Linked DNA regions of Rhinolophus ferrumequinum. The protein of the gene in region 3 interacts with the protein of the main gene of each other region in a pairwise test. Links are inferred from orthologs where the notes say so. Each region holds a gene or a part of one and is shown on either strand. Other genes may lie near its edges.

Region 1 (3,823 bases), on a different chromosome or scaffold from region 3:
TAGCTGTGGGCTGGGAGCTGAGTCAGTCTGTCTTCTGTCTTGGCTCGGGACAAAGTGCCAAGGGAGCCGGTGTGCAGGTAGGGCTGCGTGGAGGCCTTAAACCCAGTCCGGAGTGGCTGGGACTTGGTCTTGCTGCTGACCTCCACAGCCTGGTGGGCGGGGTAGAGGCACTTGGCTGTCTCTGTGACCAGCTGGGCTTGGGACTGTGCCTTGGTTAGCCCGGTGAGGAGATATGCTTGAGACTGGACTCCTGTGGCCAGATGTGCTTGGGATTGTGTCTTGGTCAGACATGTGCCAGGATATGCCAGGGACGGGGCCGTCGTCAGCTGAGCAGGTAGATGTGCCTGGGGTGGGGCCTTGGACAGACATGTACCCAGATATGCCTGGGGCAGGGTCGCAGTCAGTTCTGTAAGCAAATGTCCCTGGGCTGACGTGGTGGTTGAACAGGTGGCCAGCTGTCCCGGGGGCGAAGACTTGGACCCAGATGTGCCCAGCTGTGCCTGGGGCAAAACCACAGCTGTTTCTCCAGGCACATATACCTGGGTCTGGGCACTCACAACATCTGTCCTCAGGCGTGCCTGCGATGAGACCTTGTTTCTGTGCTCAGCCACTTTTGCCCAGGGCTTTGCCCTGGGGACTTCCACGGCCACACTGCTACTAGACTTGGTTGCCGTTTTCACCTGTTTCTGGGAGAAGGCCTTGATTGTGTTGGGTTTCCAAAGAGGCCTGGCTGGAGACTTGGGAGATCCAGCCCCCAGATGTGGTGGGGGGCAGTATTTCATCTTTCCCCCAGTCAAGTATGAATGGGACGAGATTTTAACGGTCTGTCTCGCAGTCACCACAGCCTTGGCCTTTGGTTTGTTCAGACACGTGTGGGACAAGGTATTGGGAATCCCAGCTGCCATGACTGCTGGAGGTGAAGCTTTCAGATTGCCAGCGGTGGGAGGGAGCAGGCACAGCGTCCTGAGGATTGTGGCCATTGAGCGTAATTGGGCTGGAGTCTTGGTGATCATGGCTGCCAGACGCGTCTGGGGAGGGGTCTTGGTCATCGAGGCCCCTGGGAGCGTCTGAGATGGGGTCTTGGCTATCGTGGCTGCTGGACATGTCTGTAGTGGGGTTTTGGCCATTGTGGCCGCCAGGCGCATCTGGGGTGGGGTCTTGGCTATCACAGGCCCTGGGTGTGTCTGTGGTAGAATCTTGGCCATCACAGGCCCTGGGCATGTCCGCACTGGGGTCTTGGCCATCATGGGCACCGGGCACGTCTGGGGTGGGGTCTCTGCCATCATGGGCCCTGGGCACATCCGCACTGGGGTCTCTGCCATCACGGGCACCTGGCATATCTGGGGTGGGGTCTTAGCCATCATGGGCACGGGGCATGTCTGTGGTAGAATCTTGGCCATCACGGGCCCTGGGCACGTCCGCACTGGGGTCTTGGCCATCATGGGCACCGGGCACGTCTGGGGTGGGGTCTCTGCCATCACGGGCTCTGGGCTCATCTGGGGTGGGGTCTTAGCCATCATGGGCACTGGGCATGTCTGCACTGGGGTCTTGGCCATCATGGGCTCTGGGCTTGTCTGGGTTGGGGACTTGATAATCGAGGTCAACAGGCATATCTGGGGTGGAATTTTGGCCATCACGGCAGCCAGTCGTGCTTGGGGTGCCGTGTTGGTCATCGAGGCTGTTGGTCGCATCTGAGCTGGGGTCTTTGTCACTGGAGCCGCCAGGCACGGCTGGGGTGGGGTCTTTGTTATCATTATCGCAGGAGCTGGACATGGCTGGGTTGGGATCTTGTTCAAGATGGCTGTCAGGCATGACTGGAGTGTGGTCTTGGCCACTGGGGCTGCTGGGTCCACCCGGGGTGGGGTCTTGGCTATTGTTGCTGTGGGTGCTGGGCACGGCTGAGTGGGGGCTCTATTCATCATGGATGCCAGGCATGACTGAAGTGGCGTCTTGGTCAATACAGCTGCCGGATACATCTGGGGTGGACTCTTGGTCATTGTAATGGGGGGCACCGGGCACGGCTGGAGGGGGTTCTTGAGCATCACAGGGGCTGGGCCTGGCTGGGGTGGGGCTTGGAGAACTTCTGCTTCCACAAGGGCCTGAGTCTGGGTCTTGTGGGGTCCATGAAAAACCTGGGCATACCGTTCTGATTGTGGTGTGCCCGGGGCTCCTGCCTTGTTGGCTCTGGCAGCCACTTGCTTGGTCTTTATCGTGTCCCCTTCTCTGTGGACAAGATTGGCACTTCTGACCGTTCTTGTCAGCAGGCATGGGTAGCGCTTTGCCTCTGGACTCACTGGACACGGAAGTCTACTGGAGATAGTCTGGTCTGGCAGGAAAGTGATGCTGGGGCCACCAGGGGCACAAGAAGCCTGTGGAGCACCCAGGGGCTGCTGCGGGGCCAGCTGGTGGGTGTAAGCAGCCAGGCTGTCAGCAGAAGGGAACTGGGTCTCCTTACTCACCATGATGGGTGGGGCGGAAAGGCTCCTGTCCTTTTCTGAATGCTGGAACCGCACTTGCTGGGGCGGGTGGTAAGGGATGTCCCCCTCATCCGCACTCACTTTTTTCTCTACCGCTTTGCCAAACCGGAGGAGGCGCCTGGTGTTGAAGCGTCGCCAGGCCTCCTGAATGGCCTTAGCTGCCCGCATCTGGGAGATGAGCTTCTGCCGGAGCCGGTAGCCCTTCCAGTTGGATTGGATGAGCGTAGCTGCGCGAGACAGAATTATGTCCATCTCGTCAACCAGGACATTCTTGAAGGCCTGGCTCTCCACCACAGCCCGGAGGCGTGGGGTGTGGTGAGGCACCATCTTGTCTGGCTGTTGCAGGAGGGTCTCCCTGGATGCAGGTGGCTCATGCTGGGGATGCGGACGTAGTGTTCCTGCTTTGTCTTGCAGATTGGGGACAGGCTGGGCCTGGGAGGAGTTCTGCCCGCTGGGTGACCACTGTAATTGTGTTGCTTGCTGCATTGTCTCGGTTCCTAGGTGGATCAAATCTGCCTGTGGGAGGTGGCAGGGAGGTGGTCAGGGAGTGGAGTCGTGCAGAGAAGAGGGGTTCTGGCTGGGACGAGCCCTCACCCTGGGGCCTAGATCTTCTTGTTCCTGGCACCTTTGCAGGCCCTGTCTACCCTGGCCTGGCCACCTCCTCAGGTGGCTTTTGGTATCCATGTATTTTTCATCATCCTGTGGCCACTTCAACTCTGGTGTGTAGTACGCATTCTCACCTACTCAATGCCCCAGCACTTACCTGCTTTTCATACTTGCTCTGTGTCTAGAATATGTTGTGAGGACAGCACTGACTGCACTGTCTGGAGAATGTGTGTGTGTGTGTGTGTGTGTGTGTGTGTGTGTGTATGTGTGATTGTTATTTGCCTCTTCTCATTGACTATGAATTCCCAGAGGGCAGGAACCAAGTCTGAGTCATTTCTGTGTCCTCGTCTCAGTCATAGGGTTTGGCTCCAGGCTGTGAATGGGTAGGTGTTGGGTGAGGGGCTAATTTGACTAACAAGTGAGTGGGTGAGTGGATTGGAAGTTGTATGGATAGGTGGATACATGACTAAATACTGAATGGATAAATCAGTGGATGAATGAATGGTGAATCAGTTGGAGGGATGGATGAACGGTTGAGTGGAAGAATGGAGGAATAAATGAAGTTGATGAATTTATGAACAGATCAATCAATAAATGGACACATGGATGTATAGATGAGTGGATGGATGGAAGGAGGGAGGGAAGGAGGGATGAGTGGACGGATGGATGGATGGATAGATGGAGAGATGGATAGACAGATGGATACATAGATGGGTGAAATCTGAGTAGATTAATGGGTG
Region 2 (3,600 bases), on a different chromosome or scaffold from region 3:
AGTAAGTGAACAAAGGCAGGTGTACGATAATGAGTCTAGTTTAAATGTATGTGTACACACACACACACACACACACACACACACATGCCTATCCACGGAAAATTTCTGGAAGGCTACCCAAGAAAGTTGGTAATGGCTAGCTCCATATGGAGAATGGAATTGAGTACGTGAGGTGAAGATTCACTTTTCATGATATAAACTCCTATACTGTTTGGAAAAAAGTGTGTGTGTGTGTGTGTGTGTGTGTGTGTGTAATATAATATACTGGTATCACGTGTATAAGTCCTGTTAACTTTCTAGGCGATGTTCTAAGAGTATTCTTGCTAAGTGGTTTGAAGATAGAGGAACCAAAAGTCCTATTCTTGTCCCCAAACTTAGAAAACAGACAATCTGATTATGTCTAGAGTTGTCAAAATGTGGAGGCAATGTGTGAAAAAACTAAATATGCTCATCTTTCAGAAGGAGATCAACTGAGATGTATATACATAAGTACAGCTAAAGAACTAGGTCAGCCTCCCACCAGGCCAGTCCAAATAAAGCAGCAAGGAAATGAGCTGTTCACTCTTCTCTCCTTGGAGGGCCCAGGGGTGCTCTGTACTTGAAAAGATCCGCAGAACCATCCCAAAGCCCTGGGACTCAGGCTGGCTCCCAAACATTCTGCACAGGGTTTGACCCAAAGCCTCGCCAGGTCTCTCAGGCTCCAAGCTAGTATTCCACAGCATCAAGGAACCAAAGTAAGTATGCCTGAGTACAGAGGGCTGGCTTGAACAAAGGAAGTCACTTAAACATCTTCTAGCCTCCTGTCCCTGGGTCCCTCTGCCCGACGACACTGTGTGCCTTTCACTTTAATATTCTGTTGTTTTATAAGACACATTACCTTCTTTTTTAAAACTTCTCTTTTCTTTCCCACATTTCAGGCTCTAATGAAAGGATGTTTCACTACAAATTCCTGAGATGTGATGACACAGTCTTTTTGCCATTCCGTCCCAGGCATCTCAGCCTGATGTTCAGAGAGTGTCTTAGGGAGAAACCAAGATGGTGGGCAAGGCATAGGCTCTCATATATATATGACTTGATACCCAGGGTGTGCAGCGTAACAGTCATTCTAGGCCCCCAGAGAGGGAAAATCACTGGCTCTGAGATATTCTGGAGCCAAATATTCTCGTAGTGGAATAGGAGTTGGGAATGGGTCTCGATGGGAAGATGGCAGGAAAGACTAGGGGCTGGGTACTTAGTAAGGATGGCAGACGGCAGGCAGACAAAAGGTGGGTCCCAGGCATGGCTGAGGGATGGCCGGACAATGAGCCCACTGCTTCTCCCCAAACATGCTGCCCCAAGAACTTAAAAGGAAGCATTTTCGTGGTTAAGTTAAAAATCACTTGTGTTCAACACATTTCCTCCTAATTTCTGATACAGATGAAGAAATGAATGTTCACGATGTTCCTTATAGCAGCCATGCCTACTGAGCCAGCCAGCTCTGATCTATTCAGAGTTTTTACTTTATTTGCAAGGGGGGTGTGTGTGTGTCTTTTCCCCTTACTCTCACTGAAGTTTGTCCCATTTTGTAGATTACTAGAACCTATACCTCTGGCACAGGGCAAACAAGAAAGCCCATTTATAAACCATTCTGGCTTATGCTGCTTTTCTTTATGAAACCAGTAGCTAAAATGATATCTATGAATTTGATTAGTTCTGCTTTGCCCCGTGACCACATGTCAACCCAAACTGGTTGCATTTCTGGGACATAAAATTTCTTCTCTGCCTTCTCTCTGCTTAAGTGACCTCAATCCTTTTTAACCCGCAGGCCCCTTTATTGACTAGTCTGGAGTGGGGGACAGGTGTGAAGTTTAGTTGGGGAGGATTCCTAGTCTCCTGCCCTCTAATTCTGCCCCCAAAAGATGGATGCGCTGAGCTTTGCCTTAAATACAGATAGTTTCACTGTCATAATGGACTTTTCTCACAGGGTTTATTTTTTAATGTTTCATTATCTCAATGCTATTTTCTCCAGATTTTCTATAATGTTCTCAAAATCTGAAACTCCGAACTGGAATGTACTCTAGCAAACTGTTACACAGCCTGGGGAGGATCACCTTTCTCCTAGTTTCTAGGGGTCTTCTTTCCTCTGTCCATGCGCAGGCTGTCCTCTCCAGCCTGCAGAGCAGCTGCTGACTCACGCTTACTTTGGGATCTGCTAAGCCCCCAGCTCATCTTCTGCCCTTCAGCCAGGACAGCCACCACCCAGCTCATACAGCACTCTGCCCATCACCTGGGAGCTCAGCTCTGACCTGATAAGAAGTCTCCCACAAGTCTGCAGTGCTTCACCTGGCCCTGGCCCTGGCCCTTCCCCGGCCTACCTGGAAGACGTCGTTGGCACACTTGCGGCACAGGTTGTGCTGGCAGGGCAGGATCACCACAGGTTTGGAGAACATCTCCAGGCAGATGGGGCAGATGAGCTGCTTCTCCAGGTTGTCCATGCTGTGTGCATCCCCGAGCAGCGGCTTGAAACCCACTGTGAAGTTCATCCCCTCAGCGATCGTGCCTACCCTGGCCTTGGCTCTGGTCCTGGCCTTCCCTCACTGCCTCAGAACCCTTCCTCTTTTACTTTACACAGTCTATGGATTCTTGTGTTCCCTTTTGTTGCTCACTCTTGAAATAGCTCTGCTATCTCTCCTGTCCCTTCCTCTGACAATTCGCCTTGTCCTTAGGCAGCCTCTTTCAGACACTTCTCGTCTCTCTCTTCTTTGCTCTATACCCCAGCCAGGCACATGCAGTTTTCTCGTTCCCTCACTCCCTGCGTGATTCTGTCCCTGGAAATTTCTCCCTTTGTTCCCCAAACGACTAGTGTTCACTCTATGGGCAGCACTGTTTATTCCTCACTCCCCAGGGAGGAGATTAATTTTAACGTGGGGGTGGGGAATAAGGGGCATCTGTGTGACATTCCAACTCCCAATTTAGCTCATGTAAGGCGAGCCACAGCTGTCACCGAGTGAGTGACCCTGACTCACTCAGGCATGGGTGGCTCTCTTGAGCAAGAGCAGGGGTGAGCTTGACTGCTCGTGGTGAAAGGTGGGCCAGCAAAGGCATTGGGCTCTCACTCGCTCTCTCACTCAGAAGGCTCCTGTGCCCTCCTGACCCCCATCATCTGGCTCGGGCCCTTCTTCCAGGGCAGTGGCACAAAGTCAAACGGCATGACACAGTCAATCAGCATACATGGCTCAGGGTCGAAGGACAGATCTTGCCAGACCGACAGACAGTCATTGAAAATGTCTGCCTCCAAGGATTAGCCAGTGGCCCTCTTCCTCTGAACCCCGTGATTCTGTACAGGAGCACTAGCAACTAGAGAGAGAGGCTCTGGTCCAACACTTCTGGTCCACTCTTGTTCTCACCCAGAACTTTCTTAGATCACCCAAGGAAAAGAAGCTCAGAATGCTAGAGCTGGCAGTTGTGCCAGGGACGACCTCCTGAGCATGCTCCTGAGAAAGTGTGGGACTCTGGTCCATAAACACATCACTGGAGCCACTCCAAGGACTTTAGATTTGTCAGGAAATTGAGAGAAGCTGAGCTGGGCAGAAAGGACCTGAATGCCAGGCACCTATTTTG
Region 3 (3,823 bases):
GGCTAAGGACCTAAGTACAGTGATAGATTTGGCTACAGGGGGGCTAATAATGGCAAGTTAAGATTTCCAGTAAACTAGGGTTCCTACTTATACCTAGTCAATCTATTGTCCCAATAAAAAGGTAAATGAAGCACTTTCTTTGAAATGTGTAGTGCTGAGGGTTTACAGAACCCTATTATCTTCAAAGGACCAAGTCACGACTCACAAAACCCCAGTACACTATATTATGCCTTTTACACAAATGCATCAACTATGAAAGAAAGGTCATAGGAATGTCCTCAGGCCAATGTAACATCAGATTTGGGACAACTCTCTGATCTTCTTAGCTCCTAGACCTCTATTTCAACCACATAAATCAAGTTGTGAGGAACAATCAGGAAAAATCTAATTCACATTATATATCTGCATTAAGTTAATTGATTGGACAGGAATATATAAAACAGCAAAGACTGTTTCCCCCTCAGGCAGTCATGAGTGGAGAGGGGTGAAAGGGGGGATGTAATGGTTCGGGGTAGAGCAAGGAGTAGGGGAGGAACTCTCCTCTCTTCACCCTTTCCCTTCTATTGGAACATGGCCAGAGAACTGATACTGAGAAGGAACAGAGTGGGGTTAAAGGTAGCCCTCATGGCCCAACCTGAGAATCGGAGGAATCAACCCACACACAGTACTTGTCTATTTACATAGTCTCCAATATATTCTTTTATAAGGGCTCCTCCTCGGAGACACACAACCATCACTACCCACCGACCCCACACTCAGAAATCCTGAAATAGGGAAACTGGTTGAGAAGCAAGAAGCTGCATTGCTGGGCGGCTGGGAGTACACAGGTTGATGGGGGAAAGGGCCTGTGGGATGGCGGGGTGGGGGGGGGAGATTTGGGTGGGCAGGTAGGTGTATGATGTTGTAGGAAGGTGCGTGAGTGTGAAGGCTGTAGGAGAGTGTAGAAGAGAGAAAGTGAAGAACCACCGACCCCAGGATCCCAATTTCCTGCTCTGAGAAATGTCTCCCAGAAATAATGTGCTGCGCATGAAGTGCTAAGTAACCTAAACCTTATCATCACCAAAAGTGTTTCTGAAAATCTACTCCACCGTTATTTACTTAATTCTGACAAGCCAGGAATGGAAAAAACCCACCTCTCCGTGATTCAGTCGCAGTCTATCCAATGGACCTATGTAAGTTTCCCCTCTCCCTCCTGAGCTGCTTTCAGAGCTAGGCCAGAAATAAGGAACCACCCAGACGGAGACTCAAGGGTCGCTCCCCTGGCAGAAAGGGGATTAAGTTTCGCCGGGCCTCCCCGCCGGCAGGGTGTCCGCAGCATATCGGGCTGCGACACCAGCTACCGCCGGGCAGACGGCCGGCCAAGGGGCGCCAACAGGGCCGAGGAGGCTGCCGGCCGCGGGAGCGTGGGAAGGCGCTCGTGGGAAGGAGCCGCTCCACTGGCCGCGCTGGGCCCGGCCCGGCTGTGAGAGAGGCCTCGGGCCGCCCCCGCCCGCAACCCGGAGTGAAAACTCCGTCCCAGGAGGGCAGCAGCGACGGGAACCCGGGGCTCCACGGCGCAACGTGGAGTCAGGGCCAGGACGGGGCCCCCGCCGCCGCCTCGAGCCTCTCGGGGCCCGTCACCCTGCCCCGCAGAGCCCCGGAGTCCTCGGCCCGCGCTGGTCCCAGCCGCACCTGAGAGGCGGCTGGAGCCGGGGCCGAGCCCTGCGCCGGCGGGGTGCTCGGCCCCCGGGGGCCGCGGCGAGGGGGCGCGTTTTACCCAGAGCGTTCCCGGGCGCCGGCCATCTCCTCAGCGCGCCCCAGGGCGCAGGGCGCTCGCCTCCCTCCGCCGCGAGCTGGCTCCGGCTCCGACGCTGGCGCGAGCTCCCCGAGCTGCCGCTGCCGCCGCTCTAGGCCGCCGCCCGCCTTCGCCTTCGCTGCTGCCGCCGCGCAGCAGCCGGGATCCGCCCGCCCGCGCGCCCCGCAAGGGACAGCACGGCGGTCGCGACGCTCCAAACTTAAGAGTTTTAGATTCGCCCCCTCAGTCCAGGGGCAGCACCATGACACCACGGCAGCTCCACACTGTCATTTCCGCCGCCGCAGAGGGAAAAAAAAAGCAATCCCTTCGAAAAGGGGGTGGGGTGGGGGCCAACAGGGTTGGGGCTGACGCCCAGAGGGAGCACGGACAAGGGCCCGGCAGCGGGGGCTCTCGGCCACCTTCCCGGCCTCACCTTCAGCCTCCCCCGCCGCTCCCAGCTACCCCAGCCCCTCCTCTGGAGGCGCGTTTACATGTTTTCTCCCCAGGCAGGAGTGACGGGAGAAACCTGACCAAGCAAAGGCAGCGGGTGGGTGGGGTTCGGGTTACTACTGTACCTACCAGCTGATTCCAGCAGCCTTTTCTCCAGCGCCCTGTCATCTTGAAGGAAGACACACGGAGAGGTGCTGAGCGGTCGTGTGTGTGCGCGCGCGCGCGCGCGCGCGCGCGCGAGAGAGAGAGAGAGAGAGAGAGAGAGAGAGAGAGAGAGAGAGAGAGAGAAAGAGAGAGAGGGAGAGAGAGCGCAGAATGTGTGTGAAATACAGAAGGCAACTCTTCTGCCACCCGCCAAGCCCCTGGTCCCACAAACCCCCAGGTTGGAACACGGAAAAGACCCTTGCAACTGGCAATGAGAGAGTGCCCAGGCCCACCGCACAGGTCCCCGGATGAAGCTGCTCTATGCAAAGTTAACTACAGAGTAAAACAAAAATAGTGGAGGAGACAGAAAAAGGCAGACAATTGAAGGAAACCCAACCCCTCTTTCTTTTTACGAAAGGAGAATGGCTGTGTTTTATTGGCCTTGGGCAGAAGTTGTGGGGATGGAATAAAGCCACCAAAATTAAAAAAAAAAAAAAGGTTTCATTTGCACGCTCAAATCTTTGATGGACAAAACAAGAGGTTCCCTACTAAGAGAACAATGGGACAGATGCCAGCTATCCAGGTATTCAATGTCCCTAATAAGCTAATTGGTTCATCGGGAGCCCAGAAACTTCATTGGTCTGGAGTCAGCCTGGCAGCTGACCTGTCATTGGCTCAGAGACCACTGACCCACTCACAAGGACACCAGAGGGGAGAAGGAGGAGGCCCGGAGGAGATTCTGCTCCTAACATGGGGTAAAAAGGGAGATGAAGGGGAAAGAAGCTAGAAAATGGGAGGAAACAGCCCCGTCTCACAGAAGCCTCCAATTACTGTGCATGGGAATAAGTTCAGAAAAATTATGGTAGCTCTGGGTGTATCCCATCAGGGAACCAATAGTAATTAGGCATCACCCCATTCAACAATGTACTAGCGAGCACCGAGATGGAAATGAAGGCAAAAGTCACAACCAGACTATCCTGATGAAAGTCTGGCTCTAGGAGAAGTAAAAGTTAATGAGTTCAGTCATACCAAAAGAACAGGCAAGGTTAGCAAAAATAGACAGGTGGCAACTACATCAAACTTAAAATTTTCTGCACAGCAATAGAATCAACAGAACAAAAAGGCAAGAATGAAAATATTTGCAAACCATATATCTGATAAGAGGTTAATATCCAGAATATATCAATAACTCCTACAACCCAATAACAAAACAATAAATAGCCAGATTAAAACATGGGCAAAGGACTTGAATAGACATTTCTCCAAAGAAGACGTACAAATGGCCAACAAGCATATTAAAGGATGCTCAACATCACCAATCATCAGGGAAATGCAAATCAAAACCACAATGAGATATCACCTCACACCGGTCAGAATGGCCATTACAATAATAAGTGTTGGCAAGGATGTGGAAAAATTGGAACCCTTGTACACTGTTGGTGGGAACAGTGCAAC

Evidence for each region.
Region 1: the proteins of MID2 (region 3) and IQCN interact in binary tests that used the Homo sapiens proteins (3 or more experiments, as listed by UniProt). The two-hybrid records come from large-scale screens. The link is inferred for Rhinolophus ferrumequinum from reciprocal best matches to the Homo sapiens genes MID2 and IQCN.
Region 2: the proteins of MID2 (region 3) and TRIM54 interact in binary tests that used the Homo sapiens proteins (3 or more experiments, as listed by UniProt). The two-hybrid records come from large-scale screens. The link is inferred for Rhinolophus ferrumequinum from reciprocal best matches to the Homo sapiens genes MID2 and TRIM54.

What each region holds. Positions count from the first base shown.
Region 1 is NC_046301.1:51,087,655-51,091,477, forward strand, and holds the start of IQCN (IQ domain-containing protein N), read right to left. Parts: upstream 2,964-3,823; coding exon 2,018-2,963; intron 1,964-2,017; coding exon 1,653-1,963; intron 1,263-1,652; coding exon 1-1,262. UniProt on the Homo sapiens protein: Essential for spermiogenesis and fertilization. May be required for manchette assembly in elongating spermatids.
Region 2 is NC_046296.1:53,402,484-53,406,083, forward strand, and holds the start of TRIM54 (tripartite motif-containing protein 54), read right to left. Parts: upstream 2,876-3,600; 5' UTR 2,523-2,875; coding exon 2,355-2,522; intron 1-2,354. UniProt on the Homo sapiens protein: May bind and stabilize microtubules during myotubes formation.
Region 3 is NC_046284.1:46,734,467-46,738,289, forward strand, and holds the start of MID2 (probable E3 ubiquitin-protein ligase MID2), read right to left. Parts: upstream 2,462-3,823; 5' UTR 2,354-2,461; intron 2,289-2,353; exon of another isoform or gene 1,672-2,288; intron 1,153-1,671; exon of another isoform or gene 1,134-1,152; intron 1-1,133. UniProt on the Homo sapiens protein: E3 ubiquitin ligase that plays a role in microtubule stabilization. Mediates the 'Lys-48'-linked polyubiquitination of LRRK2 to drive its localization to microtubules and its proteasomal degradation in neurons.